4 linked regions of the Pelodiscus sinensis genome follow. The protein of the gene in region 1 interacts with the protein of each later gene in a biochemical or structural test. Links are inferred from orthologs where the notes say so. Each region holds a gene or a part of one and is shown in the gene's direction. Other genes may lie near its edges. The genes, in order: PCNA, TRAIP, POLK and UBE2B.

What was found.
Region 2: the proteins of PCNA (region 1) and TRAIP form a complex in vitro, tested with the Homo sapiens proteins (2 studies listed by BioGRID, with this or other methods). The link is inferred for Pelodiscus sinensis from reciprocal best matches to the Homo sapiens genes PCNA and TRAIP.
Region 3: the proteins of PCNA (region 1) and POLK form a complex in vitro, tested with the Homo sapiens proteins (2 studies listed by BioGRID, with this or other methods). The link is inferred for Pelodiscus sinensis from reciprocal best matches to the Homo sapiens genes PCNA and POLK.
Region 4: of the proteins of PCNA (region 1) and UBE2B, one has a biochemical effect on the other in vitro, tested with the Homo sapiens proteins (2 studies listed by BioGRID). The link is inferred for Pelodiscus sinensis from reciprocal best matches to the Homo sapiens genes PCNA and UBE2B.

The regions. Positions count from the first base shown.
Region 1 is NC_134738.1:703,187-710,073, reverse strand, and holds the start of PCNA (proliferating cell nuclear antigen), read left to right. Parts: upstream 1-3,878; 5' UTR 3,879-3,974; coding exon 3,975-4,195; intron 4,196-4,680; coding exon 4,681-4,778; intron 4,779-6,887. UniProt on the Homo sapiens protein: Auxiliary protein of DNA polymerase delta and epsilon, is involved in the control of eukaryotic DNA replication by increasing the polymerase's processibility during elongation of the leading strand.
Region 2 is NC_134721.1:45,809,003-45,816,214, forward strand, and holds the start of TRAIP (E3 ubiquitin-protein ligase TRAIP), read left to right. Parts: upstream 1-4,199; 5' UTR 4,200-4,308; intron 4,309-5,263; 5' UTR 5,264-5,300; coding exon 5,301-5,398; intron 5,399-7,212. UniProt on the Homo sapiens protein: E3 ubiquitin ligase required to protect genome stability in response to replication stress.
Region 3 is NC_134716.1:84,589,848-84,597,422, forward strand, and holds the start of POLK (DNA polymerase kappa), read left to right. Parts: upstream 1-4,562; 5' UTR 4,563-4,888; intron 4,889-7,575. Other genes in the region: CERT1 (ceramide transfer protein), read right to left, coding at 1-99, 3,804-3,899. UniProt on the Homo sapiens protein: DNA polymerase specifically involved in DNA repair. Plays an important role in translesion synthesis, where the normal high-fidelity DNA polymerases cannot proceed and DNA synthesis stalls.
Region 4 is NC_134727.1:28,262,478-28,270,286, forward strand, and holds the start of UBE2B (ubiquitin-conjugating enzyme E2 B), read left to right. Parts: upstream 1-4,795; 5' UTR 4,796-4,955; coding exon 4,956-4,999; intron 5,000-7,809. UniProt on the Homo sapiens protein: E2 ubiquitin-conjugating enzyme that accepts ubiquitin from the ubiquitin-activating enzyme E1 and transfers it to a E3 ubiquitin-protein ligase. In vitro catalyzes 'Lys-11'-, as well as 'Lys-48'- and 'Lys-63'-linked polyubiquitination.

The DNA.
Region 1 (6,887 bases):
AGGTAGTGGGGCTTCTCGGGAGTAGGGGGGAAATGGAGGGGGGACGAACACCTCACGATCAACTGGTCGAGGCCCTGTGATCAACCAGTCGATCGCGATCGACCGGTTGATGACCCCGGTCCTAGGCTATTTGTACACTGCAGGCTTTTTGTGCAAGAACAGCTGTTCTTGTGCAATAACTTGCAGAGCGTCTATACTGCATGCGCGTTCTTGCGCAAGTAAATTTACAGTAAAGCGTTGGAAAACAGGGCTTCTTGCACAAGAGTTATTCCAATCCCCAGGAGGAATAAGCCCTCTTGCGCAAGAGCACTTCCACAAAAAGGCAGTGTGGACAGGCAACAGGGATTTCTTGCGCAAGAAAGCCCTATGGCTAAAATGGATGCTCTTGTGCAAAAGCACATGGCAGTGTGGACACTTGCTTGCACAAGACCTTTTGCACAAGAACTCTTGTGCAAAACAATTCTTGCACAAAAAGCCTGTAGTATAGACGTAACCCTAGTGTACAAATTATTCCAGCACCTCTGCTACAATGTGCTGCCTCCTGGCCCCTCCCCAGGAAATGGACATCCTTCCCAGCTAAAGATTTCTCCTTGTCTCCACACAAAGTGCCATAGAATCCCTGGTGCTATGCAAAACAGACAAGAGGTCTGAAGCTCTACGTCCATCATAACCTTTCCTAACCTGCCCAGACAGGGTTGGATCCTGTGCAGACATGCAAGCCACGGTTTGGGGTATGAGCACAGTGTTTTTGGGGGCCCCACAGCAGCCACCCCAATTGTCCTATGGATGTAAGGGGCCTGGTACAGGGCGGCATCAGGAGTCAGCCACAGATACCATGTGGCCAGTGGAAAGCAGAACAGCCTGGAAGCCTGCTCCACCACACCCCACCGTGCCACCCTTTCCCAGCCTGCTGTGCAGTTTCTCAGTGGCAGCGGGAAGCAGAGCGCTCTGGACCCACGGCATGCTGTTTCCTGCCACCACAGAGAAGTGGGACGCAGCAGGCGAGGGCGGCAGAGCACAGCAGGCTGCCAGGCTGCTCTGGCTCCTGCTGCCACGTGGTCAGTAGGGGAGAAAGAAATCCTGCTGCCACCACACTAGGCCCCTGTAATCCCCCAGGCCATGTTGCTTGGGTGAAGGGGCCGATGAGTGGACCCGGTATGGGTATTGGGGGAGGAGTGGAGTGAGGGTAGGACAGGGCAGGGCCTTCAGTAGTGGGAGGGGTCCCCAGATTCCATGCCTGGAACTGTGATGGGAGGTTGTCTCAGGCGCTGAACTTCCTCAGGTTAGTCCTGAGGACAGATTCCCAGGCCACAATGGACCAGTGTGATCATCTACTCTGGCCTCTCATATAGCACAGGCCAGAGAACTTCCCCACAATAATTACTAGGGCAGCTCTTTCAAGAAAACATCCAACCTTGATTTAAAAATTGTCCGTGACTGGAGTATGCACTGTGATGGTTTCCCCTGTCCCACAATACTTTATGAAACTGTCTTATGGATACAAATATGCATAACTCGAAGATGCTTTGGACAAAATACTTCATGTCCTGTCAATTTTAATGTCACAATCTGCTGGATCCGTATATCTTGTATGTAAAGTTAGCGATATGTGGTAGGGAATGGGGTAGGTTAATGGTTTTAAATGTGCAAATGAAACCTTAATGTCTGTGTGATCACCTGTAAACAGCCTCCTTCATCCTTTAAGTCTCTCAGCAGTGGTTGGTCCTAGAAAGACATGTAACCACACCAACTGGGACCAGGTAATTTTCCATTGGAGGGGGGAATATAGAAATAGAATTCCTGCTCAAAAGGAAGTCTATTTAAGATGCAAAAGTTTTTAGGCTCTTTGTCTTTGGCTAGCTGGCCAGACATCACAGAAGAAAGAGAACTTCCCTGACTTGGAAGTTTAGCAGAAATAACAAGTTTTAGGGTAAGTATACAATAAACTTTAGTGTGTTAGAATTAGCTGTGCTTTTTGTAAATTTGTAATTTACTTGTTCTGTTTTCACTTGCAACCACATAATTCCTACTGTTTATACTTAATAAAATTACTTTTTTTACTATCAAACCTAGTGTAAATAATTGTTACCTGGGAACAATCAGTGTGTACATTCTTCTTTCATTGTTAGAAGGGGCTTGCCTGAATGATTTATTTGCAGTTCTGATACCCTTTGGGGATTGGTTGGTTTCCTGGATGCTGTGTCTGAAATTGCATTCTCCTCAGAGCTGAAGTCATTCAATGTCTGCATTGCTCTTTTGGCAGGGAAGCTGATCTCAACTCTGTGTCTTAGCTGGAGACCAGGAGATCTAGCCCAGCGAGACAGGGTTGTGAGAAACCCCAGAGAGCAAGGCGGCCAGTGTCAGTAGCTTTATTAGCACACTGAGAAGCAACCCCAAGGGGGTCTTCTGTAACACACCCTCCGCTCCCCCCCCTCCCCGCTAACATGCACCATAACCCTTGGTAAATGGTTTCAGTAGTTAATTACTCTCACTGTTAAAAATATATGCCTCATTTCCTGTCTTAATTTTTGTCACTTCAACTTCTAACCATTGACATTTCTCTGCTAGATTGAAGGGCCCCCTTATCAACTATTTGTTCCCCATGTAAGGACTTGTTGATTATAATCAAGTCACCTCTTTATTAAGTTAAACAGATTGAGCTCTTTGAATCATTCCAAGGCATGATTTCCAATCCTTTCATCTCATGGGTCTTCTCTGAATCCTTTCCAGTTTTTCAACATCCATCTTGAACCACGCTGGTCACAGGGTGGAGGCAGAGTGGAGAAGGCTTTGCATGCTCCCTCACTCCCAGGTCCTAATTGGCCTGGGGGCAGGGAAAGCAGCTTTTGCCCACCTCTGCTACAGAGTATAGCATTGTGGATACCGGAAAGATCCTCAGAGGCTACAAATCAGTTACATCACCACATAACCCACCAAAATTGTTGCAAGTTGGCAAACTCAACAGCTTGACCTATACAACAACCCAGCTGGCAGCCTTCAGGAAATCGTCATTCAGCCCATCGGAACATCACATTGCCATAGAACCTTCAGAATTCCAGTATTCCGCATTGGCCCTTCCCATGATGCTCATGGAACTCCAGAACCCCAACATTCCAGTCTGCCTCCGCAAATTCCACTCATTGCCACCACATAAACCTGGGGCCCCAGCTTCCTCGTAACAGCCTATACCTCCCGAGGAATGTACCAGGATCCCAGAACCCACAGGAGCCCACTGCTCCATTCAGCAGCAAACATACATATTTGCAACGGACCTAGAGCCCTGATGTTCCACCCAGCAGGCTAAGGCCTACAACTCCCTGAACGTCCCAGCACGAAGAGCCACCTTCTCCACACACATTCCATCCAGCTAAGCCAGTGGAACATTGGTGGACCCAACATTCCATCTAGCCACTTCCACAGAACCCGTGGGTCCTCTGTGTTCTGTCTGGGAATCTTGGGAGTCCTCACATTCCACTTATCAGCGCCCTGGACACCCCCACCATCCCTTCTCAACTGCCCACAGAACGCTGGGTCCCCAGCAGAGGAAGGCGAAGCTGTGCGGACAGAAGAGCGGAGCGCTGTGATTGGCACGTGCGTACGGACAGTGAGAGCCCTGCGTTGATTGATCGCATACAGTAAGCGACGGGCCGACGCTCCTATGTTTGTGTTAGCTCATGAAGAGACGTAGGGCGACGTCATGATTGGCCAGCAACAGGCATGGGGCGGGATTTCCGCTGTTCTAGGATTAGCCGAGAGCCCTTCTTCAGGGGCAGGACTACCGGTTATCATGGAGGCGTTGATTGGTGTTCGAGGCGCCCTGAGGGCGGGGCTTCCGGCGGTGACTCGAGTATGATTGGTGGAGAGCGCCGAGTGGGCGGGGTCGGGAGGCGAGGGCAGCGGCGCTATAAGAGGCCGTTGGCGCGCAGTGGAGGCACTCGGGGGGTCTCTGTGGAGCGGCTGAGCGCGGCGACAGGATGTTCGAGGCGCGGCTGGTGCAGGGCTCGGTGCTGAAGCGGGTGCTGGAGGCGCTCAAGGACCTGATCACCGAGGCCTGCTGGGACCTGGGCTCGGGCGGCATCAGCCTGCAGAGCATGGACTCGTCGCACGTCTCGCTGGTGCAGCTCACGCTGCGCTCCGAGGGCTTCGACACCTACCGCTGCGACCGCAACATCGCCATGGGCGTCAACCTGGCCAGGTAGCGGGGCTGCGGCCCCTGAGGCGGGGCGCGCGCGGCATCCCCGCGCCCGGGGTGGCTCGAGCCCCTCCTGTCGGCCGCCAGTCTGGCGCCTTTTCTGTCGCGCGCGCGGGCTTGTCGGCGGAGGTGACGTCACTTCGGCGCTGGCGCGCTGCGCCCGGCCTCGCTGGCGGGAAAGTTGCACGTGGGGGAGGGGCGCTGAGGCTACGGGCCTGTGGCTAGTGGGGTCCGCCCCATGGCGCCCAGTTACGGCTTGTCAGCGTGCGCGCTCTCCTCCTCCCCCCCCCCCACCGCCGCGTCGTGGCCTGGGGGCGGGCAGGTTCAGCAGCACCTGGAGCTGTTCCTCTGCTCCCCTGTCACTCGCGCTCATCTCCCTTCCCAGGCTCGTGTGGAAATCCTGCACCGGGGGCCGCTGTGTGAAATGGGTGGCTGGGACGCAGCTCCCTGTATTGCAAATAAATCCCTTCAAATTCTTTCTTTCTTAGTATGTCCAAAATACTGAAGTGTGCTGGCAATGAAGACATAATCACGCTCAGAGCAGAGGACAATGCTGATACGCTGGCTCTGGTATTTGAGGCACCAAGTAAATATCTCAAACCCATTCTTTTTTATTAACATATTAATGCTACTGTAATTTACTTGAGATGGGAATGCCTGACAATTTCCCTTCATATGTTTCTCTCCTTGTCCAGATCTATTCTGCTCCCAATAATTTTCTGTTCATTGAACTTTTTGAAACTTGCCTCTTTTAGAGAGCGATAAGGGATTGACTCTGTGCTCACAGACTTGCAGAGGGACAATAGGGCTGCGGTCTGTTTTGTTTCATTTCTATATACTATTTATTTAAAAACATTCTTGCTGTGAACAAGTATGCTATCTCTGGAGATAAAGCCACAGTTTGAGAATTGCAAAACTAAGCATCTGGGATGGTATCTTCTAGACCAGGGATGGCCCATCATTTTTTATACAGGATTCATTCTAAGATTTTGGAAAGTGGTTGAGGGCTGCACTCTTCCATGGAGGAGGTGTGAGGTCTGGAATGGAGGTTGGGTGCAGAAGGGAGAATGCAGTCTGGGAGGGAGTTATGACCTAGGGAAGGAACTGGGGTATAGGATTTGGGGATATGACCTCATTGATTGTATGTTATCTTGCACTGGATGCTATCTTGCATTTAAGCTGTGACTTATAGACAGAGTGGCCACCAGGGCACCTGTGCTTTTTCCTCTTCTTTTGAAAACTGCCTCTTCCCTGTCTGTACACGCCTTTTTCTGGAGAGCTCGTTCAGAAAAAAGGCTTCTTGTGGAAAGAGGCTTTACCAATGTTGGAAAAACCCCTCCTGATCTCTTTTGAAAACACAATTGGTGTGTGGGTGCAAGTGAAGTTGGTTTTTTTTAAACTGCTGTTTTTCCGAAAAGACTATAGTGTAGACATAGCCTGGGAGAAGGGGGTATGGATGTATGTGGGATAGGTTCTGGCCAGGAGACTTACCAGTTAGCAGCCAAACAAGCCAGCCATGTGCCTGAGCGAGCAAGCAGGAAGGTAGCTGCCTGTTGTTCAAACAAGCAACTCCCGCTGGCCAGTTTCTCTCTAGAAACTGGCAAATAAGATTGTGCTGGGGGTGGGAGCAGCCTCTGAATCTTCCCTCCAGATGCAAAGAGGAAACACCCCACAGCTGTGTTTTCTGAGCAGCAAGCAAGAGAGCCTGCTTGGGGCTCCCCACCACCTCCATGGGCCAGATCTGGTGGCTTGGCGGGTTGTATTTTGCCCAGGCCTGTTCTAGACTGATCACTGAGTCCTATTGGGTAGATAGGAAGATAACCTAAAATCTATGCATACGTCTCTGGAACACCCTTAGATTGGGTCCCTAATTCAGGAACTATTGGAACTCATTTACAAAACTTTTCTTAACCATTACATTTATATATTCTCATACTATAATATTAAAATGTATAATCATTATTCCATGATGAGATCTTTGAGCTATAATGTATCTTAATTACAACTATCTCTAGATGGGTCTGTTCTTCAAAGCATTTTATCAAAGAAATTTGGTTTCAATCAGTAGATCAGGATCTATGGATAGATCTTGGAGCCTCTAACAGGTAATCCTGACTGGTTTGGCCAGGAAGCTATCAAGTACTGGCACTTTAGTTGCCCCTCCACCCACTGTCACACTGCTCCTGCCCTCTGTCTTGGAGCTGCCTGCCCCTTTGGAGCCTCCTGCGTGCTGTGCAGGGCATTGGAGGGAGAAGGGGGCACTGATGTCAGGGTGTCCCTCCCCCCCCCCCACTTCTGTACCCTATCTTCGCACAGAAGGGAATGGAGAGTTTAGCAATGCAAATCTGTCAGTGTTCACATGCTGAGTGTCTGACATGCTCACAAACATGCTGTATCCCTCACTCCCATATCCTGACCCAGCACATGTGGAGAGTGGTTGTTACTACTTTTACAGCTTGCAAAGTGTGTTTTTTGACTGGTCTGTGCAATTCATAATTTTCATTTCTCTTATGCTTGTATTTAATTCTTTGAGTAGTGAGTCCCCTAACCGGTCACAACTCGATTAATTATTCCTATGGAAATTGCTGCTCCTGGAAGTGACTGGCATGTACATGCAGCCTGAGGGGCAGAGCAGGGGGTCCCCACATGCTGGCCTTTCTTGCAGACTCCACGCCTGCAGCTCCCATTGGTCAGC
Region 2 (7,212 bases), on another chromosome or scaffold:
GGCGGGGCGGCTCGTGGGTCACAAGGCCTAGGCTGCCGTCAATCCCAGATCCAACTGCCCACGTGGCCGCACCCACAGGTGCCCGTTGAGCTTGCTTGGAGCTGGGGCTGCTGCGGAGCGAGGGGCCTGGGTGTGTCTCCTCTCCGTGGTGCCGGTGGCGCCTGGCCCTGGAGGCTGCAGACCTGCCTGGGCACCCATAGAGTAGGCAGCGCAGCCTCGCCCTACCCCGTAGGCCCCAGTCCGTGCTGGGGGGCAGGCTTGTCCGAGCAGGGTCCACGTGCGGGAGGGTCCACGTGCAGGGGGGTCCATGCGCTGCTCTGCTGCTTGAGGGCCTGAGGGCAGGGCCAGACCCCGCTGGCGCACGGCAGCACCCTCCTAGGCTCCCTGCGGCCCAGCCTGGTGGCTCATGTAGGGGGAGCGTCACGGCCCTGCTGGAGCCGCCCGGGTAGGAACACAGGCTGCTGGGAACATCCCAGGGCCGGCAGCCCCCTCGGGAAGGGTGGCTCCAGCTGTCCCATGGCTGCACCAGCCCCATGTGGCCAGGGAGTTGGGTGCGCCGACCTGCAGGCACGTGGGCCCCTGGCTCGGGCTATCGGAGCAGGGCGGGGGGCTCACGGCCAAAGCACTGTTCTAGGCCTCTCCTCCTGGGCCCAGTGTGGGGTGTGCAGCCCGCCTGTGGCGGCACCCGGCCTGTCGGCGGGAGCAGCAGGGCACCTGTGGGCCGTGCCCAGCACAGCTCGGGGCCGGGCCTTGGCGTGGGGGGGTGTCCGTGTAAGCGCTTGCTGTGTGTGCGGGGTCACAGCACCCCGTGTCCTGCGGCCCCGCCCGGGCACAGAGGCTCTGCACCTTGGCCGGCCCAGGCGAGGGGCTTTTCTGGCTGCAGCTGGCTATGGAGGCAGCTGCCTGCCGGGTTCCCCCTCCCCGCCGTGCTGATGCTTGGCAGACCCAGGGCAGGTCTGAGGGAAAATAGCGCCTTGGCCAGCTTGTATTTTAGCAGCCTGGGCCCCCCAACCATCCTCCCTGGGCCCCCCAACCATCCTCCCTGCCGCCCAACCATCCTCCTTGGGCCCCACTGCCTCCCCGGGTGCCCCTCCAACCCTCCCTGGGCCTAGATGTAGGCAGGCCTGCCTGGTCCTGGGTGCAAGGTGCTTGTGGCTGTTGGTTCTGAGGGGAGGGGAGATGAGTCCAGACGAGAGCCCTTGACCAGAGCTGGGCCTCTCCACTCCCCCCAGTGACAGGCCTGGCCCATCAGCTCCCTGCGCCCTCTTCCCCTGGCCCCAAACTAAACAGGAAGGAAACCCAAGTCCCACTGCGAAGGGCCTGTGGGGTTGACCTGCCACCAATGGGGCTCCCCCGGGCTCTCCCAGCCTGTGGCTCTCCGGGCTGTGGGCCCACCACTCCGGCTTTCCTGCCCCCTCTCCTTGACTCGCAGCTGCATGTCTGTAGGGTTGGGTCCTGTCTCAAACGTTTCTTTCCACCACGACCGCCCAGAAGCTGCTGTGTGATCGCTGCACTGTACCACTGGCAAATAAAGACCTTCTGAGGACAAACTGAGAGCACCAGCCACGCCTGCTCTGTCTCTTTCTGCCGTGCGGCCGAGCGCCGACCGTCCGGGGGCCACTTCGCCCACCTGGCTGGTGCCAGGAGCAACTCCGCTGCACTGTGCCTCCCGGCTGGGACGGGGTGGGACGCCGACACTCGGGGGCTGGAGGGAAGGGGGGTAGGCAGAGGTGGGGAGCTAAGAGGAGGTTAATCGCTGAGTCTCGGAGACCCTCCTCCCCCAGTCCAGCCCAGCTGTTCTCTGCTGTCCTCTCGCCACGGCCCTAAACTTGTATGGCAGCAGCACGCTCTGCTCCCCAAGCAGCTGGGAAACAGCTGGCAGTCAGCTGGAGCCTCTCTGGCATGGGAGTGACTCCCCAGCCACTCGTCCCTCCGCCCTGGAGCAGGATGTGGCCCTGGAGAGGGGACCCCGCTAACAATCCGGCATGCCCAGGGGCAGCTCCGGGCTGTCACTGGTCTCGTGCAATGGGGCCCCCAGCCTTTGTGATGGCCAAGGAAATGGGATCAAACCGGCAGATCAGTGAGAGCCAATGAGCAGCCGCTCCCAAGCGTCCCCTCTTCAGGTGTTTCCCAGAGTCCTTTGCACTGGACCCACTGCTTGGTCGGAAGGTCTGTGGGCAGCAGGGCAGTTTGCCGGGTCTCTGACGCTCGAGGAGACGATGGCCGAGGACTGAGAGCGCTGCTGCACCAGGAGCTGCCTGCGGGGAGGCGCTTGGAGGGGGTTGGAAGACTCGCGATCCCACCGTTGGACAGGTGAGTCCCATAGGCAGAGCGAGCGACCCTGCCAGGCTCTGTCTTTGGGAGCACACTGGTATGGCACGTCACCCTGACTGCACAGGGCAGGCGCTTGCCACGGCGTCCCTCCCAAGGCCGACTGTGGTGCTCTTAGATATTGAAGTGACCTCTGTTAGAAACGTCGGGGCTCGCTAGAGACCCACAGGGCTGTTCACAGGAGGACAGGTATAAATGGGGCTGTGCCAGCCAACCTCCAATTAGGGAGCTGCATTCTACTTCCCCAACTGCCCCCCCCACCCCTGATGTTCAATGGGACATGGTATTCCCTTCTGCCTGTCCCAAGGCTTTATAGATTTGCTGTGTGCTGTTCAGCAACAGCTGTGTCCCACCCCAGAGGTGGCCGCATTCCCATATTAGCAGAAGTGATTCCTGCATATGCATGTGCCATGCTCAAGTTCCGTGAGCTAGCTGGCCCAGGAGTAGCTGGCTGTTCTTGCTAAACTGTTAAATAATTAAACTGTTAACGCTGAAGCTTAACGATGACACCACTGATGACAGTGATGTAAGAGCCTCTAGAACTGACCCAGGCAGCCAGCTCTGCACCATTAGGAGCTTTTCTTCCCAAATGAGATGCTATAAACCTGATGAACTGAGATGAAAATGCCCAGCAACTGCTGGGGATGCCAGAGAAGTGGCAGGAATGTGCAGCAGCCCATATTGGTTCAGTTCAGCTCCTGAGGCTAACCAGGGCCAGACACCTCCTTAGCGGGCTCCATCCGCATAGGATACGTGGCATTTAGCATGCAGTTCTGACTGCTCCCCCTACCAATGCACCCAGTCCTGCAAGCGCCTTCTCTCCTCTCCCCCCAGAGCTCTTTGCCCCAGCCCGGTTTGCTAACATGCTCTGCGTTGCACTGGAGACAGTCTGGCTCTGCTTGCTGCTCTGCTGGGCCTGGATGAGCAGCCTCCGCCTCCTTGGTGCTGCACTTTCTGTTCTCTCTGCTTTGTTCTCTTCATACAAGTCGTCTTATGTCACTGTATTGCAGGAGCGGTTTGAGGCCGGCTGTAGCAGGCTGTCAGTGGTCGTGACGTAATCACGGGGTGCCCCGGGCTGGTGGTGCCCTAGGCGACCACCTAGTCTGCTTAGGGTCACGTGCCGCACCTGATGTATTGAGGCCTCTAGTTAGCCCCCTATCCTGAAGTAAGCTCCACTCCTGCAGCCCCATGTGCCTATTGCCCAGGGAGGTTGTGGAATCTCCATCTTTGGAGATGTTTAAGAGTAGCTTAGATAAATGTCTATCAGGGATGGTCTAGACAGTATTTGGTCCTGCCGTGAGGGCAGGGGACTGGACTCGATGACTTCTCGAGGTCCCTTCCAGTCCTAGTATTCTAGGATTCTATGCTAGCATATCCTACTGCAGGACTGGTGCATTATCTATTAGGCTACAAGTCAGGGCCTGCGCACTTACAGGGATGTCACGCACATGGAAGAGAGCTGGGCAGTGTGTTGGAAGCAGGAGATTTTGGAGGGGGAGTAAGGGTCAGCTGGGACTTCAGAAGCCCACAAAGTCAGGGGAGTCATGAGCACGATTCGCTGTTCCTGCTGTAACAACTGGCAGGGGGACAGCTGGAGTTGATAATCAAATCACCATCATTCAGTTTCAGAGTTAACACTCCCACAAGGCTGGAGCGGCCTGCACCTCCTGGGCGCAGGGCGTTTGCCAGGTTCCCCACCAGCTGTTGGGCTGGACACCCGTTTACTGGAAGGTGAGACTCTGGGACAAGCCAGGCTTCATCACACAAACCCCGCCCCTTAGGTCCGCAGGCCCCGCCCCTTGAGCCCACGGGTGCTCGGTCGGCGCTAGGGCCCCGGCGAGGCCAGGGGAGGAACGCGGGGACCGGCCCCGCCCCCTTCGGCCGAGTAGCGGGCAGGCTCGAATCCCGCGCCTGTCTCTGCTGCGTCATTTCCGGTCCATGCCGGAAGTGGCCTCGGAAGGAACCAAATTTGAAAAGGTAACGCGAGGCGAGCCGCGCCCAACCCCCTCCCCTGGACCGGGAGCTGAGGGGGGTCGTGGGAGGCTCGGACCAAGGGGGCCCGGCAGCGGGGGGGCTCGGACCTGGGGGGGGCGCTTGGCCCGGCAGCGAGGGGGCTCGGACCTGGGGGGGTTCGGCCCGGGGGGGGGCGCTTGGCCTGGCAGTGGGGGGGCTCTGCCCAGTTAGGGCGCTTGGCCGCGAGGGGGGGGCTCGGACCTGGGGAGGCGCTTGGCTGCGGGGGGGGGGGGCTCGGACCCGGAGCAGCGCTTGGCCGCGGGGGGGGGCTCGGACCTGGGGAGGCGCTTGGCCGCGGGGGGGGGGTTCGGACCTGGGGAGGTGCTTGGCTGCGGGGGGGGGGGGGGTTCGGACCTGGGGAGGCGCTTGGCCGTGGGGGGGGGGGCTCGGACCTGGGGGGAGTGCTTGGTCCAGCCATGGGGGGGGCCTCAGACCCGGGGCGGCGCTTGGCCTGGCAGTGGGGGGGCTCGGCCCAGTTAGGGCGCTTGGCCACGGGGGGGGGCTCGGACCTGGGGAGGCGCTTGGCCGTGGGGGGGGAGGGGGCTCGGACTGGGGGGGGCTCAGACCTGGGGAGGCGCTTGGCCGTGGGGGGGGAGAGGGCTCGGACTGGGGGGGGCTCGGACCTGGGGAGGTGCTTGGCTGCGGGGGGGGGGGGTTCGGACCTGGGGAGGTGCTTGGCTGCGGGGGGGGGGGCGCGGACCTGGGGAGGTGCTTGGCTGCGGGGGGGGGGGGGTTCGGACCTGGGGAGGCGCTTGGCCGCGGGGGGGGGCTCGGACATGGGGAGGCGCTTGGCCGCGGGGGGGGGGCTCGGACATGGGGAGGTGCTTGGCCCAGCCGTGGGGACTTGGGGGGGACTCGGACTGGGCTGGTTGAAATGCCCGCAGGGGCGCTGCTGAGACGGGCGTGTCCATCTGCCCAGGCTGAAGTGGGTGCTCCCTGCGGGCTCATTGCCTAGGATGCCCATCCGCGCCCACTGCACCATCTGCTCTGACTTTTTCGACAACCAGCGGGACGTTGCCGCCATCCACTGCGGGCACACCTTCCACCAGCAGTGGTGAGTATCCCCGTCCCCCGCGGGCACACCTTCCCCCAGCAGTGGTGAGTATCCCCGTCCCCCGTGGGCACACCTTCCCCCAGCAGTGGTGAGTATCCCCGTCCCCCGTGGGCACACCTTCCCCCAGCAGTGGTGAGTATCCCCGTCCCCCGCGGGCACACCTTCCCCCGGCAGCGATGAGTAGCCCTGAGCCCCTGTGTCCCACAGGGGCGTCAGGCCGGCTCCGCATGGGCATCCCTGGGCTCATGTTCTGTGATGGGTTCAGCGCTTACTGGGGCACCGTCTCTTCTCATCTTGCATGTCCTTCTCTGAACTCTTCAGCCTCCTCTTCTCCAGGCCCACTCTTTGCAAATGTCATAGTTGAGATGGGTAGGGATGCAAACAGACGTTTAAAACCTGCACTGTGTATTTGCCGTTGTTATAGTTTACGGTTCTGAAAGTTGGGCTCCTCCAGTTCTGGAGAGATGCAGGACTAACATAACAGGAGGTTGTGTTGGTTGGCCTTGTGCTTCATTGTCAGCACTGGAATTGTAGGTCACGTTACAGTGCCTTGGTAGAGCTGGAATGGAGCTGAGGACTGCAGTAGGGAATGGAGGTGCAGTTCTACTCAACCAGCCCAAAACTGAGCCATGTGGGAAACCCTGCACAGTTCTTGACTGGCTAGTGCTGATTGGAGCTAGGCATGTTGTAGTAAGATCTGTCTCCAGATTCCCTATCCATTCCACTGTTGTTAAACTTGTGCTTGATACTTGTTTGCGAACGTTCACTAAATAAATTTGTCCGTTTTGCAACATGGTATCTTTGAAGGCTCCTCAAGTGCTTTTTGAATATTAAAGTCCCCGCCACAATACCACCATGAGGTGAGGAGATATCTCATCTCTCTGTTTTAGTGCTGAAGAACTAGTCACAGAAGAGTCTGTACCAAAGCCTAGTGTAGCTTGTTGGCCACTATGGTTCCCCTTTGGAAGTTTTGCTTCTGAATTTCTTTTGATGGCTGGACACGCAACTCTGGTAACTGAATAGTTGCTAAAAGGAAAGAGGCTTCTTTCCTTTCCTAGCAACACCTCTACTGTTCAAGTCTCACTTCTTCCTTCAACCTTGTTCCTGTTGTCTTCCACAATTTTCCCTCTGCCCTAAACCTGCTTGTCACAGTGACCTTCCTTCTGGCTAAGGGCGTGGTGCTTTGGCTTCCTCTGAGGCCATGCATGTTGATTTTTTCCCCTCTGTTGGGGGAATGTGCTAGAGTGAAATGGGGCTGCAACTTGCAATGCTCTTGAACTCAGGTGTGGTGCTGGGCCCTATCCTTTCATGCTTGTCCCTTTCCCATCTGTGGTCTTGGTTTCCTTGTCCTCTCCATCAGAGATGTGTTGCTCCTCCACCAACTGCTTGTCCATGTGCTCTAGCGAGAGCAGCAACAAGCTAACGATAAAACAATCCCAACCAATTCCAGGCTTTTGCTGAGTTCCTGTGTATTTGGGCTGGCGACATGTTCTCTTCCTGTGGGATCAGCTGAATGTGTGGTAGCGTCAGGGGATGCATGTGTACTAGGGTTCACTCCTCTACACAAAAATGAGCATCCTGGGAAGGTCACTGACTCATGAACATCTGGAGCTTGCTTTGCTCAGTAATGTTTTTAGAGGAAGGGGAACAGTGCCCTTTGGATTTGGCTGGCTAAGCTAATCATTGTGCTGCAATAAACACACCGTTCTTAAGGGGCTCTGAAGCTCCAATTGCTAGTGTGAGACTGGATGTTCTTCTCCACATTAGGGATGTAAAATTCCATTTGTTTAACCAGTTAAACATTAACTGATTAA
Region 3 (7,575 bases), on another chromosome or scaffold:
GCAGCCATACTCAGTTTCATCTTCAGATTTGTAGTAACTTAGAGTGTTGTTTTTCAAGACTACCCATCGGTCCTGCCATCCATGAATGTAGTTAGTCCACTATAAAGAAAAAAGAAATATATCTCAAAGAGCTAGCAAAGTCTGCAAATAGTAAAAATACTGATAAGAGATGACACCTTGTTTGCTTGTTAAACTTCCTGATAATTTAAAAATTAAAAATGCAGTTTTTCAAAATTCTCCCCAAATGACAAATTTGCTATCTCTTTGATCAGAAATCATCAATTCTTTTCAACCACTTTTGTTGCACGGTAACCTAAGCCAATTTTACTTCATTAACAATAAGACTGAAATTATGTCTTGATTGTAGAAGTGGTATCACAACCAACTAAAACAAAATGTTCATTACAATTAAATTCATGAACGCAGAATAGTTCAGTGAAAAATTAGAAACATAACTGGTAAAACAGTTCGGTTTTGTCTTCTTTAGGCTTAGAAGCTAATCTTTTGGTTTTGATGTTGCAGAACTTTCCATTAAAGTAGAATAGAGAGTTTTCATATCTGTTTACATAAGATAAAAATATTGCTTTTAAGAAGTCTCATTCTCCAGATCATATAAAGATTCATTTATACAAGGTAGGGATGTAATACTGCAGTCGATTAACCAATTTATAGATAAGCAAAAGCTTATAGGTTAATGCTGTCGACTACATGCATTTCCCTCCCCAGTAAATTTCGGTGATAACAGCCCCCACATTGTAAAAAGTGTTTTCATGTGGTCAACATTTCTAATCAGTAGGACTCTGCATGGGCAAATTTAGGCAAATACATTTAAAAATTGAAGAGCTAAATACTTAGCTTCTTTTCCCCTTACTTGTGGAGTAATGAGGGCTTTCTGGAGTAATGAGGGAAAAGACCCAGAAATAGCTATTCTACACTAATGCCTTACGTGGACACTCTTCTTTCACCTTAAGTGCTTGTACTTAGATCAGGCACTTAGTGTAGAATCTGAGTGACCACAAAAGGGGTTAGAGTAGAATAGCTATTGCACTTTAATTTCACATGGCAACTATTTTACATTAACTTCCTCATGAACTCCCTCTACAGGCAAGCAGTACAATCAAGCTTTTCCCTCCCGCAAAAATGATGAAATCCTGACTACCTAAGCTACTGCAGGGAATGCAAGGAAATGTAACCCCTTTATCAATGGTTTGGAATATTGTTTTATTTTTAAAAAGTATTTTTATGTTTAACTTAACCTAAACATATTATGCTGCAATCATTTCAGATAAAAAAATCATTTGACTCAGGTATTACTGAAGACATGAATTAACTAGCAAAGAATTTGAAGTCAGCCAATCATAATACCTTCCAGCAGATTTACTGCAGCAGGTTTTATCATATTTCACAATTCAGATTATTTCTCATTATGTGTTTTCACTTGGACGCTAACAGTAAAGGCAACAGCTATCATATGAGTATAAGCACTACATACATATCTCTAAAGATTGCACACAGTGCATTTATAAGATGACACATTTGTATGGGAAATTCTTTAGGATTTAACATACGTGATAATTTATCATTAGGACCTAGAATATAATTCTTATTCATTTCATTTGCCAATATTAAAACTGATGGCATACTACTAGAAACAAATACCAGATTTTCTACTTAATGATCTGAATCATCTAATAGGGAGATAACGTTGCAGAAATCTTGGGTAATAAACCCAACATTTCTGAGCCGAATCATGTAAAAACATATTTCCTGTCCCCTCCACAGCATCAAACATGAAATCCTGAAGATCAGTGCCAAGGCCTGCTTCCTCTCCTCAGCACTTCTCTCATCTATGATCTTAGAAATATTTTTTAATTGGAGAGTTCATAAACAGAGTCTCACTCCCTCACAAAAACATAGTAACATAACTTTTTCAGTATCAAGTACTGGGCAAACTTTGAGGCTCTAGGGAAATTGTATGGTGGGCCATAAATGTAAGGCTAGGTCAGGGATGGGGGCTCAGGACAGGAGTTCAGGACAGGGACTGAAATAGAGGGCTAAAGGTGCAGGCTCCAGCCAAGCACCACTTACTTTGGGCAGTTCCTGGTCAGCAGTGCCAAAGCAGGCTCCCACCCTGTCCTGGCCCCATTCTGCTCCTAAGGTAGTTGGCTCCTGGGGGGAGGGGGCGGAAAACGGGTGGCCCCATGAGCTACCCTTGCCTGCTGTCACTGTCTCCACAACAGCTATAAACCATGGTTCCCCATTCCTGGCCAATGGGAGCTGGGGGAATGGTGCCTGCTGATGAGGACAGCATGTAGAACCCCCAAGCCCATGGGGTTGCAGGGATATGCCGAACACTTCTGTGGAGTGACACAGGCCAAGGCAGGAGTAGCCTGCCTTAGTCCCACGGCACTGCCAGACTGATAATCCTGAAAGCCAGATTAAAAGCCCTGAAGGGCTGGATATAGCCCACATGTTTTCCCTACTCATGATCCAGAGCTGCTCATGATCTCCATATCCCATGACCCATCCACTCAGTTCTGCCTTAACCCCTCTGAATATAGAGAGATATGCAAAAATATTTAAATTCTCTTGGCATTAAGTATATATTGAGAAGCTACTTTCTTCTACTGAAATTGTTCAATTAAAACATTTAGTCTTTAAAACATTATTTAAAACTTAATTCCCTAACCCGATATCTCACAATTCATTTTTATCAAATTCACAGCAATAAAAGAGTAAAAATAGATTTAATTCCTACACAGATAAGCATAAGCACCACAATTTTTAAAAGCAATAATCCATACAATTTTTCCTTTTTCACCTCTTTACTCCGTTCTCTTGCTGCAAGGGTATTTTATTACACTGTTTTAATGCCGGGATTAAAGGCCATGCCACTCCTCTTTGACGTATTCCTATTGATTAGAAGTGATTTGTAAGGGCACATCACATGCTGCTATTTCCTGCAAAAAGTCTTCGCAAGAAAAAAAAGTGTTTCCTTCGTGACCCCCAAGAACTCTCTCTCCTCCCTATACAGATTCAGTGCTGGAGTCCAATCCTAGTCATCACAGCTATCCTTCCAAACTAGCTTGTAACGCACACTAGCTAGGATAGGATTGCCAGGTTCCAGACAAAAACCTGATGAATAGAGATGCCCTCACTGCCCCTGCTCACCTTCTACATCAGTCTAGTTACAAGCCTGCGGTCCCAAAATGTACGCTTGCGGAGGGTGAGTCAGGGGATGGGGTGCCAAGTTGGGGGATCAAGAAAGAGGAGACAAGGGAACACTCATTCATGCAGAGTACGCCTACCCATTTAAGAAGGGAAAGGGGACTATGAGAGCACCCCCCATCGGTCTGCAGGATGGATTTTAAGACAGTCTGCACACCCTGTCCGCGGGGCTCCCCGCCTCGCCTAGCTTACGGGAAGGAGAGCACTGACAGCGGCAGGAGAGAGATGGAGAACTGCGGGGGCTGCGCTGGCAGCAGGGAGGGCCGGAGGGGACGCCCTCGCGGGATGTGTGGGCCGTTACAGCCCCGCCCGCGGTCTGGGAGTGGGTGTTTGCCGGGGAATGACTCATTTTCAGGCTTTCTTAGGTCAGGTGGCCGCTGCCCCAGCCAAGCCAGCCCCGTGTCTCCGCGGGGTGGGCGAAGGGGTGCGGGGCTGCCCCTCCACACGGGTAACTGCCAGCGAGACGGGAGCCTAGCCCAATTCTGCAGGGTAGCGCGGGGGTGCGCGCGGCCCCAGCCGCCCGGGGAAAGAGCAGACTCCGAGTCCCCCCGAGGAAAGGGGCTGCTGTTGCTCACCTTGCTGAGGACCCCGCAGAGCTCAACAGGCGGCCCGGACTCGGTTTCGGGATCCTCCTCGGAGCCGGAGGAATTCCAGCTCTGGTTGTCCGACATGGAGGCGCCGCCTGCAGCCACCGTCGAGCAGGGAAACAGCGAGCGGCCCCCGCCCACAGCAGCCTCCTCCTGCCTTGGGGACGGGAGCGACGGCCGGGGGGGCTCTACCTGGGCGACACCTCTCGGCTCCCGGGGTGGCGCTACCCGCGCCTGGCCTCTTTGCAGCTGCCGGGGCCGCAGCTCCGATACTCGACTCCTCGCCTCTGCCCTCAGTGCAGCGCCGCTGCCCCGACCCACAGTAAGAGCCACAGCGCGAGGGGTAGTGTCCACTGCCACTCAAAGCGCCACCGCAGCTACCGCTGCCGCCGCCATCTTACTCTAGGAACTCGCTCTCTGCCACTATTTACCAACTCCCCCCAACCCCACTTGGCAGGGGGAGCGCATTGCTTGCTGGGAATTGTAGTCTGGAGGGAGGGGCAGGAAGCGTGATGGTGTGATGCATCCTGGGAGGCTGGGAATGGGGGGGGGGTGGAACTTGGGAATTGTAGTCTAGTGAGAGGGGGCAGGGCCGCCACCCTTGATTCAAAAGTTAAGAACGGCCATTTTAGGTGGGTTGTATGTGTGTCTCCTAATTACGGCCTCTCACCCCTCCCCCCATCTTTTCCCCAGTGCCCGCCCAAAAGCTTAGCCGCGGTTCCGCTTCGGTGAAGGCAGTAGTGGGGAGGCTGGTCTATGTCTGACCTGTCACCTGCTCTTCCCTCTAGCTCCTCTGTTGCGAGCGGGAACGGTTCCTCCTCCCAGCTTGGGCAAGGAGGCGATCGCCCACCCCCCGCGTGCGGCTGTTCCCCCTGCCCCAGTGTGGCCCTTGGGGAAGACGTTCGGTGTTTTCTCCCGTTACAAACGGCCCCTTTAAACAAGGTGGAGGCGTGGCTGGGGCAATGAGACGACAGGAAGCGGCGGGAGCGGGCAGGGAAGTTGAGAGCCGCGGTGGTGTGTTGCGTTGCGACAGAGCAGGGGTAGCTCGAAGTGATGCGTTTGCCCGTCCGCAGGTAACCCAGGCCGCGCCGAGCCGCAGCGTCCTCCGTCCGTGGGGTCGGCACCGGGGGGCTGGGCTCACTCGCGTCACTGAGGAGCTGCTGGCACTGGGAGGGAAACCATCGGTAGCCAGACCACCCTGCGCCCCAGACCCAAAGCAGGAGATTTCGGGCAGTAGGTGCGAGGCGAAAGGGCATTCACTGCTTTGTTCCTTGCTCTTCTCAAAGGAAGTGTGTTAACCTCTGGCCTGTGAAAGAAATCCTTTCTGCACTGTGTGTGACTGATAGATGTCCTGCAGGCATGTCAGGGCATGTCTGCACTGCACTATGTCTACACTAATACTTTTGTTCTTAAAACTCATCTCAGTTGGATGGGCTGTGTGACCCCCACCCGGGCAAGGCTGATAGATGCTCTCCTGCTGATATAGCTCCCATCCCTTTTTGAGAGTGGTCCAGTTATGCCCACAAAAGCTCTTTCTTATGTGGCTGCATAGGAGATTTTATAGCAGTGCAGCTGCATCAGTACAGATGTGCTGCTGTAAGCTGTCTAGTGTGGACAGGCCAAATGCTGCCCCTCTTCCATCCACACACATAACAATTAGATTCAAATTAGCAAGCATTCATAATCCAAGTCCTAGGATCCTGGGTCAGGGAGGGGGAAGTGTTAGAGTTCAAGTTGTGCTGTGGCTCTGGTTCAAGTCAAATCTTGTCCGAATCTTTGTGACAATCTTATGTTGTAGTACGTATGCAGGACAAGCAGCAGACCTGAGTCAGAAGGCCTGCATAGTGCAGTATGGTTCTGTGACCGCTGGTTGCAGGAATTATAAATAGGGTCCTACCAAACTCACAGCCATGCTTTTACCCGGGAGACCAGTGTTTCTCAAATTGTGGGTCCTGACCTAAAATGATGTTGCAGAGGACTCATAAGGCTATTTTAGGAGGGTCATGTTATTTCCACCTTTACTTCTGCACTGCCTTCGGAGCTGGGTAACTGGAGAGGGGTGGTTTTAATGCTGGTCAGTGGCATTACATAAGAATGGCTGTACTGGGTCAGACCAAAGGTACATCTAGCCCAGAAGTCTGTCTGCTGACAGTGGCCAGCGCCAGGTGCCCCAGAGGGGGTGGACCGAAGACAATGATCAAGCCATTTGTCTCCTGCCATCCATCTTTAGCCTCTGACAAACAGAAGCCAGGGACACCATTTCTATCCCCTGGCTAATAGCCTTTTATGAACCTAACCTCCAGAAAATTATCTAGCTTCTCTTTAAACTCTGTTATAGTCCTAGCCTTCACAGCCTCCTCTGGCAAGGAGTTCCACAGGTTGACTATGCGCTGTGTGAAGAAGAACTTTCTTGTATTAGTTTTAAACCTGCTACCCATTAATTTCATTTGGTGTCCTCTAGTTCTTCTATTATGGAAACTAATAAATAATTTTTCTTTATTCGCCTTCTCCACACCACTCATGATTTTATATACCTCTATCCTATTCCCCCCTCAGTCTCCTCTTTTCTAAACTGAAAAGTCGCTTTAGCCTCTCTTCATATGGGACCCGTTCCAAACCCCTAATCATTTTAATTGCCCTTTTCTGAACCCTTTCCAAGGCCAAAATATCTTTTTTGAAGTGAGGAGACCACATCTGTACACAGTATTCAAGATGTGGGCGTACCATAATTTTATACAGGGGTAGTAAGATATTCTGTGTCTTATTTTCTATCCCTTTCTTAATAATTCCTTACATCCTATTTGCCTTTTTGACCGCCGCTGCACACTGTGTGGAAGTTTTCAGAGAACTATCCACGGTAACTCCAAGATCTCTTTCCTGATTTATCGTAGCCAAATTAGCCCCCATCATACTGTACGTATATTTGGGGGTTTTTTTTCCAACGTGCATTACTTTACACTTATCCACATTAAATTTCATTTGCCATTTTGTTGCTCAATCACTCAGTTTGGTGAGATCTTTTTGAAGTTCTTCACAGTCTGCTTCTGTCTTGACTATCTTAAACAGTTTAGTATCATCAGCAACTTTACCACCTCGCTGATTACCCCTTTTTTCAGATAATTTATGAATAAGTTGAACACGATAGGTCCCAGGACTGACCTATGGGGGATGCCACTAGTTACCCCTCTCCATTCTGAAAATTTACCATTTATTCCTACCCTTTGTTTCCTGTCTTTTAACCAGTTCTCAATCCATGAAAGGACCTTCCCTCTTATCCCATGACAATGTAATTTACACAAGAGCCTTTGGTGAGGGACCTTGTCAAAGGCTTTCTGAAAACCTAAGTATACTATATCTGTTGGATCCCCCTTGTCTGCATGTTTGTTAACTTCTTCAAAGAACTCTAATAGATTAGTAAGACATGATTTCCCTTTACAGAAACCATGTTGACTTTTGTCCAACAACTTATTTTCTTCTACATGCCTGACAATTTTATTCGTTACTATTGTTTCGACTAATTTACCTGGTAATGAAGTTAGACTTACCAGTCTGTAATTGCCAGGATCGCCTCTAAAGCCCTTTTTAAATATTGGTGTCACGTTAGTTATCTTCCAGTAATTAGATACAGAAGCCGATTTAAAGGATTGGTTACAAACCACAGATAATAGTTGTACAGTTTCCCATTTGAGTTCTTTTAAAACCCTTGGATAAATGCCATCCAGTCCCGGTGATTTGTTGTTAAGTTTTTCTATATGTTCCA
Region 4 (7,809 bases), on another chromosome or scaffold:
CCTGCCCCCACTGGCACCCCGGCCCTCTGCCCTTCCTGTTCCCTCTTCCCTGCCCCCTCTTCCCATTCCCCAGCCACAGAACTCTGTCCCCACTCCTGTCCCCAGCCACAGAACTGTCCCCACTCCTCTGTCCTCAGCCACAGTACTCTGTCCCCAGTGGCACCCTGTTCCCAGCTGCAGAAACCTGTCCCCACTGGCACTCTGTCGCCTGCTGCAGAACCCTGTCCTCTCCCCTCCCAGAACCCTGTTCCCTCTCCCCTGCCCCCAGCCGCAGAACTCTGTACCCACTGGCACCCTGTCCCCTGCCAAAGCACCCACTAGCACCCTTCCCCAGTACTATGTCCCCTGCTCCCACCAACACAGTTGGGGCTACATTAGTGAAGCTTGGGGGAGGGGGTTGGAGAAGGGTTTTTTTGTACCTCACTTGTGTGGCCCCAACTGACTTTTCTGTGGGTCAGTGACCCCTGACTTAAAACAGGTTCCCTGCCCTTCTCAGAAATAAAGACAATGCAGAAACTTGTTGTGTTTGACATAGAATTTTATTTAAAAATGAAGCCTGGCCAACAAACCCCCAATTGGGGCCAAGCCCCCATCTGGCTACAGCATCATAACACTCCTGCACTCCCCTTTCCCCTAGGTCCTACATATGAGCTTATCATACACTGGAACCCCCTGCCCTGAGCCCCTCACATACTCCAACCCAAATTCCTGAACCCTAACATCCAGAAGTCTGTGGCTTGCTTAGTATCCTAACACTACATCTGACCCCAACACTGCCCAGCCTGGAGCCCCCTCCCTGAGCCAGCGTCCCCTTATTCACCTCCTCCTGCATCCAGATTTCCTCCCAGAGCTTGCACCTCTCACCCCTTCCCACACCCAAATCCCTCATTCCCACCCCAGAGCCTACACATCCTGTCTCAACCCAGTGAGGGTACGGCTAGACTGCAGGAGTTTTTCATGATTCTGGAGATATCCCAGAAAAGCTCTTCTGCATCCAGGGATGTTTGTTCTTCCGCTTTTTAGTGGAAGAGCAAACATGATATTTCGGTCACCCCTATATTCCTCTTTCCACGAGGAATAAGGGGGCTTCCAAAAGAAGGGGGTTTTCTGACATTTGGTCCAGTCTAGACAGGCCAAATGTTGGAAAAACCTCTTCCTACAGAAGAATTGGGGAAAAAAGCAGCAGTATAAGGATTGGGGATAGCAAGTGATGGAGAGGAGGAGAATAGAGAGGGTATGGCTTCAAGGAAGGGGCGGGGTGGTAGATCTTGGCTTGTTCTGTCATTTAAAAAGTGATCTTGGGTGTAAAAAGGTTGGAGACCACTGCTATAGGGAATCCTCAAAATTAGTCTGAGGCAGGCTTCCCTAATGTAGACTTGCTACCTCCATTTAGAGCCCCAGGATGGACTGAGGAGTAATTACTTTGAATGGCCCTGCAGAAGAGCTATTTTGAAATAGCAGCAGTGGACTATCCACACTACTGCTATTTCAAAATAGCTATTTTGGAATAGGCGTTATTCCTCATGCAATAAGGTTTACAGAAGTCGGAATAAGCTGTCCGTTATTTCAGATTTATTTCGAAATAATGGAATTGCTGTGTAGACGCTTGCATTTTTATTTTGGAATAACGGTCTTTATTCTGAAATAACGCTGCTGTGTAGATGCACCCTGAGACGCTGCTCCTGTCCTCCCCAGAGACATTGCAGAAGCCTGCATTGTAGACGTAGCCTTACAGTTTTATCACACCTCTCTTGATTTTTGGAGCTTCAGGGGGTAGCCAAGTTAGTCTGTTACAAAAAAAACAGCAAGCAAATGGTCTGGTAGCACTTTACCGTCTACATGTTTTGTTAGTCTATAAAGTGCTGCCAGACCATTTGCTTCTTGATTTTTTGAATTTTTCTTTAAGCCCTATTTTGGAGTCATATCATTACACGAGAAACTCAGCTATAATTTCTTTTTTAAGTTTCTAGTCCTCATGTTTGCAGGCGAAGTTTTGAAATGTAATTCAAGTATACGTCAAAGGCTTAAACACTAGATAAACAAACAAACAAACAAAACCCTACAATTAGAAGTGGTCAGAAAATTGAGATTTTTTTCTGTTGAAAATTTTGACTTTGTATCAAAAACCTAAAAACTGAAATGTTCTCATATGACAACTAGAAAATTTCCATTGGAAACAGACACTGAATTTTTGTTTTGTCAAAAAAAGAAACAAAAATACTCCCCAAAACAAATTTATATCAAAACTGTATTACCCAAAATATATTATTTTTAAATGTAATTATTTATAAGGCTATTGTGAGTTTTTGGAGCCTTGGGTCACAATATTTGAATGCTTCAGGGGATAGCTGAGTTAGTCTGTACAGGATAAACTTAAAAAACAACAGATTGTCTGGTAGCACTTTATAGACTAACAAAACATGTAGATGGTATCATGAGCTTTTGTGGGCACAGCCCACTTCTTCAGATGACCAGAGTTTATTTGAATGCTTAGGATTGGCACTATTGTAAAGAAAGGGGGAGAAACAATTAAATTGCACATCCCATTACCCCACAGCCTTTGGGCACCACAGAAACCCCTTCATGATGCAGCGGGGGAAGAGGCTTAATGGTAATTACGGTATGGCAATTTAAGACTTGAGCATGGTCTACATTTAAAATTTATATTGATGTAGCCACATTGGCAGTAGTGGGTACCTGCAGCTCGAGGGCTGCATACAGCCCATTGGGGCTCTGTGTGGACCTACAAGACATTTTGTTTACTGTTGCCCACACACAGGCTTGCCAGATTCTGCTGGGTTTTGTCCATCTTGTTTTTTAAGCTTAAAGCAAGGGCACATGAAGTGATGTATGTGCTAAAGTGATGTGTGAGAGCCCTGCACTCTCTTTGCAGCTCATCAAATGGCTGCTACAGTTCATTTGGCACACCCTGGAAATTCTAGGTACGCAAGTGCAGTTACCAAAACTACCCACTCCAAAGAGACTGTCTTTGTTACAACAATCCTGTGGCCCATTGAGATGAAGGAGGGCCACTCATGCAGCCCACTTATTAGCCTCGGTTGCCCATCCCTAACTTAGGACTTGAAAAATCCATACTTCTGAGATGCCAACCTCACCCTTAGTGTGGACACATCTTTGTCATTGAAAGAATGCTTCCATTGCCCTAACATATGTCACTCAGGGAGTTACTGTTTCTATACAGATGAGAAAACCCCTCTATCAGTGTAGGTTGAGTTTTTAGTACTGGGTTATGTTGTGGCAATATAGCTATACCAGTATAGTCCCTGTAGCATAAGCGCAGCTTCAACAATATGAGCTTCTTGGGGAACTGTGCTGGAAGCAGCATTAACTATGTCCTGAGTATAATATCCCCGACTAGGTCTGGTTTACACATGAAAGTAATTTTGGAATAAGTGTGAATTTAAAGCAGAGTAGCTATTTTCAAAAAGCTCCATGTTTGGATTTTTTTATTTTGGAATGAAATTGTCTTTCTCTGGTTTAATTCAATCCAGGTACAAAGCGTGAAAGGCAGGGAAGGGCCGGGGGAAGCTGCTGCCCACTTTCCCCACCCTACTGATCTATGAAGTTTTCATGCCCAGCCTCACACCTGGCTGTTGAGAGTAGGATAGGTGGGAATTTGTCAAGACTGCTCATGTGCCTAGGATGGTGATCACCAACCAGTCGATCGTGATCGACCAGTTGATCGCAGCGCCCCTAGGAGTCGATGGGCAACTGCCTCTCTTTGATCCAGCCCTGGCTGGAGCAAAAAGGGGAAGCCGCCCAGGTGGCTGCCCCTCTTTGTTAACTTGCTGGCGAGGGGGATGGGAAGAGGCATGCATCCCCAGCTCTTGTCTCCTGCTCCAGGAGGGGGCAGAGCTGGGCCTGCTCTGCAGAGCGAGGGCTGGGCGGGTGGCACACGTGGCATGGTAGAGAATGGGCTATGCCACGCTGTTCCCTGCGGGCTGTGTGCGGGGTTGAGGAGCCCCTTCCCCAGTGCCCTGCTGCATGGAGCCAGCCTTGGGCTCTGCCTGCCCCAACCCCAGAACCACTACCAGCAGGCAAAGGGCTGATCCGGGCAGGGAAGAGACTCTGCCCCAGTGCTACTCCCAGGAGGCTGCAAATCCCATCACAGGGCGGGGTTGCACAGAGGGACATGGGGTGATGGGGGGGGGGAGGGGAGAGTGAGGCTGGAACAGAGGCAAGATGACACTTTTACTTTGCAGAAGTTGCATTTTCCTTTACTCCCCACTTCTTTGCCTCCCTCCTCAATTATCTATTTGGCTGCATGCTCATCCTCTCGCCTTTTCTGTGATACTCCCCCAGCCCCCTTCGGCTCCCAAACTCCCTCTCGTACCCCCACCCCACCCCCTCTCCTGCCGCCAAACTCTCTTCCAGACCCTGCCAATGAATTAAGCTGTAAACCCCCTCTGTGATGGAAGCCTCTTCAAGCCAGGTGATGGGCAACACCCCCAGCTCCAGCGGCACCTACATGGGTGTGAGCTATTTCTTCATGTTCCTAAAGCCCGGGGAACCTGTCAGGCAGGGTCTGAGTGGCGCCTTCAGAGCGTTCTCCTGCCTCCAGGGCTGCTCCCTGCAAGCCGGGCAGGTCCGGGGACGCGATTCGCGGACAGCGCAGCAGCTCCCCCCACCCCGTGCGGGGCCGCTGCGCGTTCTGCGGCTCGACCGTCTGCACCTTGACGCCCCCCAGCGGCACGTTGGAGGGGTGGAAGCTCCCTCCCCCTCCCGGTAGTGGTGCGTTCCTCTCTCTCCGCCCTCCCCTCGGCAGAGCGAGTGGTACGGTCGCGGAGGAGCCTGTGACTTTCCCTCCCCCCGGCGGAGGGAGACGCCATTGCAGGGTTGTTTGTGTAGCCGCTGCGGGCTGGGGAGGGAGACCGCGGCGCGGTGAGCGGTGCCGAGGCTCCGTGGGGGCAGGGACTCTTTTCCCAGAGAGGATCATGTCCACTCCGGCCAGGCGGAGGCTCATGAGGGATTTCAAGAGGTGAGCGTCTCGCCTGGGAGGCTGCGCGCTGGGATCGCCCCCCCCCTCCCCGAGGGGGCACCAAGCTCCCCCCCGTGGGTCTCGCTGGCGCCCCGCTATGCCTTGCGCGGAGCAGGGCCCAGGCAGGAGCCGCCCTGCGGGGCTGAGCTCCAAGTTCCTGGAGCTGCTTTGTGTGGGGAGAGGGGTAGGAGCCCCTTCGGTCTGCATCCCAAGGGAGGCAGTGCGGGGGGGCCACCTCTCAGCAATTAAAATAGCGGGGAGACAGGGGGTCGGTGCACCCCCCATATTACCAGGAGCCCCCCCTGTGTGTTCCTGGAGGGCTCGGCGGGTAGCCCCCCTGTCGCTGAGGAGTGGGAGCAGCTCCTCTCCCTGGCGTGGGGATGGAGATGCAAGGGGGTTCCCTGTTTTGTTTCCGCCCGCTGCTGAGCTGAGGTTGGCCCCGTGAGCTGGGAGAGTAACGCCTAAGGAGCTGTCCCAAACCCACTTGAGGCTGGCACCCAGGAAGTGCCCCGTCCAAGCCTGCGATCCGTGCAGGGTGTAGGCAGATCCATCATGAATCCTGGGTATCTGCTTCAAGACCAGCCTGACCTGGTCTGGAGGCCAGTAGTAACACTTGGCTCTTGAACAGCACTCTCCTCAAAGGACAGGTCCATATGGCTGCCTTGTGTTTTACATGGGGAAATGGAGTCTGCAGAGGTGAAGCAAGTTGCCCAAAGTCAATAACAGAGCTAGAAATAGAATCCAATATGCTGACTTCCAGCTTAGAGCCCTATTCACTGGACTACATTGAATCCCTTAATTCCCCCCACTACATCAAGTATGTACTTCAGTCTAGGGCTTCTCCAGGTACAGGATTTAATCTGCTTTATCTTTGTCCTGTTTCTCCTCCCCTATGCTGGACTGTTCTTTGAGAGAGTTAATAACACAGAAACAAACTTCACTTTCCTTGAGAGCAGACACGATCTAGAATGCAAAAACCTCACTTTATGCTGGTAAAGGAAAATGCTGGTTTGTCAAAGGTCTGTTACTGGAGTTGGGACTACAGGATAAGCAGCCTTTTACCCCTGAATTCCTTGGGACGGAGATGCTGAAAGGACTTGGGTCTATATGGTAAATGCTGTTCCTACACATGCACATCAATAAGAAAGTTAACATCTCCTATCCCACTAAAGATATTGGTTAAACCTCTGCTTCTGTAGAAAGGAGTCTGTTTTTGTTTTTATTTAGAGTTACTTCCTCTAAAGTTCTCTGCTCATTCCTGTCTTCAGGATGCCTTATGTCTTTAAAGCAATAGCCACTCTCCTTTTTCTGTCAACATGAGAAATGTCCAAAGAGCCTTTCATTATATTGCATGTGGTCTGTTAGACAGCCTGTATCATTCCTAAAAGCCACTGTTTATAGACCAAGCGTTTATTTATAACATTTAAAGTAGTACATTATAATTATATCAGAGATTCCATGATGCAGTAACTCTCTAATATAAGGGAATTAGCTCTATGATGTCAAACTTTGCTTCAGGCTGGAACTTGACAGAGGAGAGAATATTGAGCCTGTAAATATTTATGCAGGTTTCAAATGCCCATCTGTACTCTCATTATTCAAATATCTTGGTTTTTTTAAAAAACATCTCTGGAGATCCGGCATCAACATTCTCTCTTGTTGGTTTTAGTAACTTTTTTGTGGGCCTGGAAGTGAAATGCTTAGTGAGTAAAGCTAAATTTTTCAGAGATGAGTTCCCTCATGGGTGGGACAGTCCTCAGTTTTTGGGAACCTGCCTTGAGATAGTTTTTTGGTGGTCTTCTACCCTTCCTGCCGCTATCCTCCCACTGCTGAAGAGCCACAACTCCAGCTGAAGTGAATAGAAGTGTCAGATTCTTGGCCCTTCTGAATGAAAGCTTGTCTCAGTCTGGGCACCTAATTATGCACACTGAACTGATAAACACTTCTGGACTCTTGTACATACTATTCTGGTTGATAACTTCTGTCTCACATTGTTTAAAATGTTGTGTAAACAAGGACCTTTTGCTATATATTAGCAAAAACATAGTTATATTCTGTTTAAAAATTATGAGTAGCCCTGTGGCACCTTAGAGACTAACAAAGTATAAATAGTATCATGAGCTTTCATAGGCAAAACCCACTTCATCAGCTCCTCTGTTCATCACCTGATGAAGTATGTTTTTCCCACGAAAGCTCATGATACTATATATATTTTTGTTAGTCTCTGAGGTGCCACAGGACTACTCATCATTTTTAAACAGAATATAACTATGTTTTTGCTAATATACAAATGGAAATAGAAGGTGCCACAGGACCACTTGTTGTTTTTAAAGTTACAGACAAACATGGCTACCCCTCTGGCGCTGTCTACACAGCTTCCCTCTTCCACAAAAGCCTGGGCAAATGAAGCGCAGATTAGCATACTGTCTCACTTCATTTGCATAATTAATTAGGAGCTGTTTTTGCACAAAAAGCACCGTCTACACAGCGCCTTTTTGTGCAAAAACCCCCCTCTTGTGCAAGAGCCGTTTTTCCTCATTTTTTCAGGAAGAACGGCTCTTGCTCAAGAGAGGGGTTTTGCGCAAAAAGGCGCTGTGTAGATGGCGCCTTTTTGCACAAAAACCTTTTGTGCAAAAAGGGCTCCTAATTATGCAAATGAAGCATGGCTATGTGCTTCATTTGCAGTATGCTAATATGTGCTTCAATATAGGCTTTTGCAGAAGAGGGAAGCTGTGTAGACATAGCCTCTGAGACTGTTTAAAAATGGTACATGCTGAGCTAGAGAGACTCTTTTAGCAACTGTTCCAGTT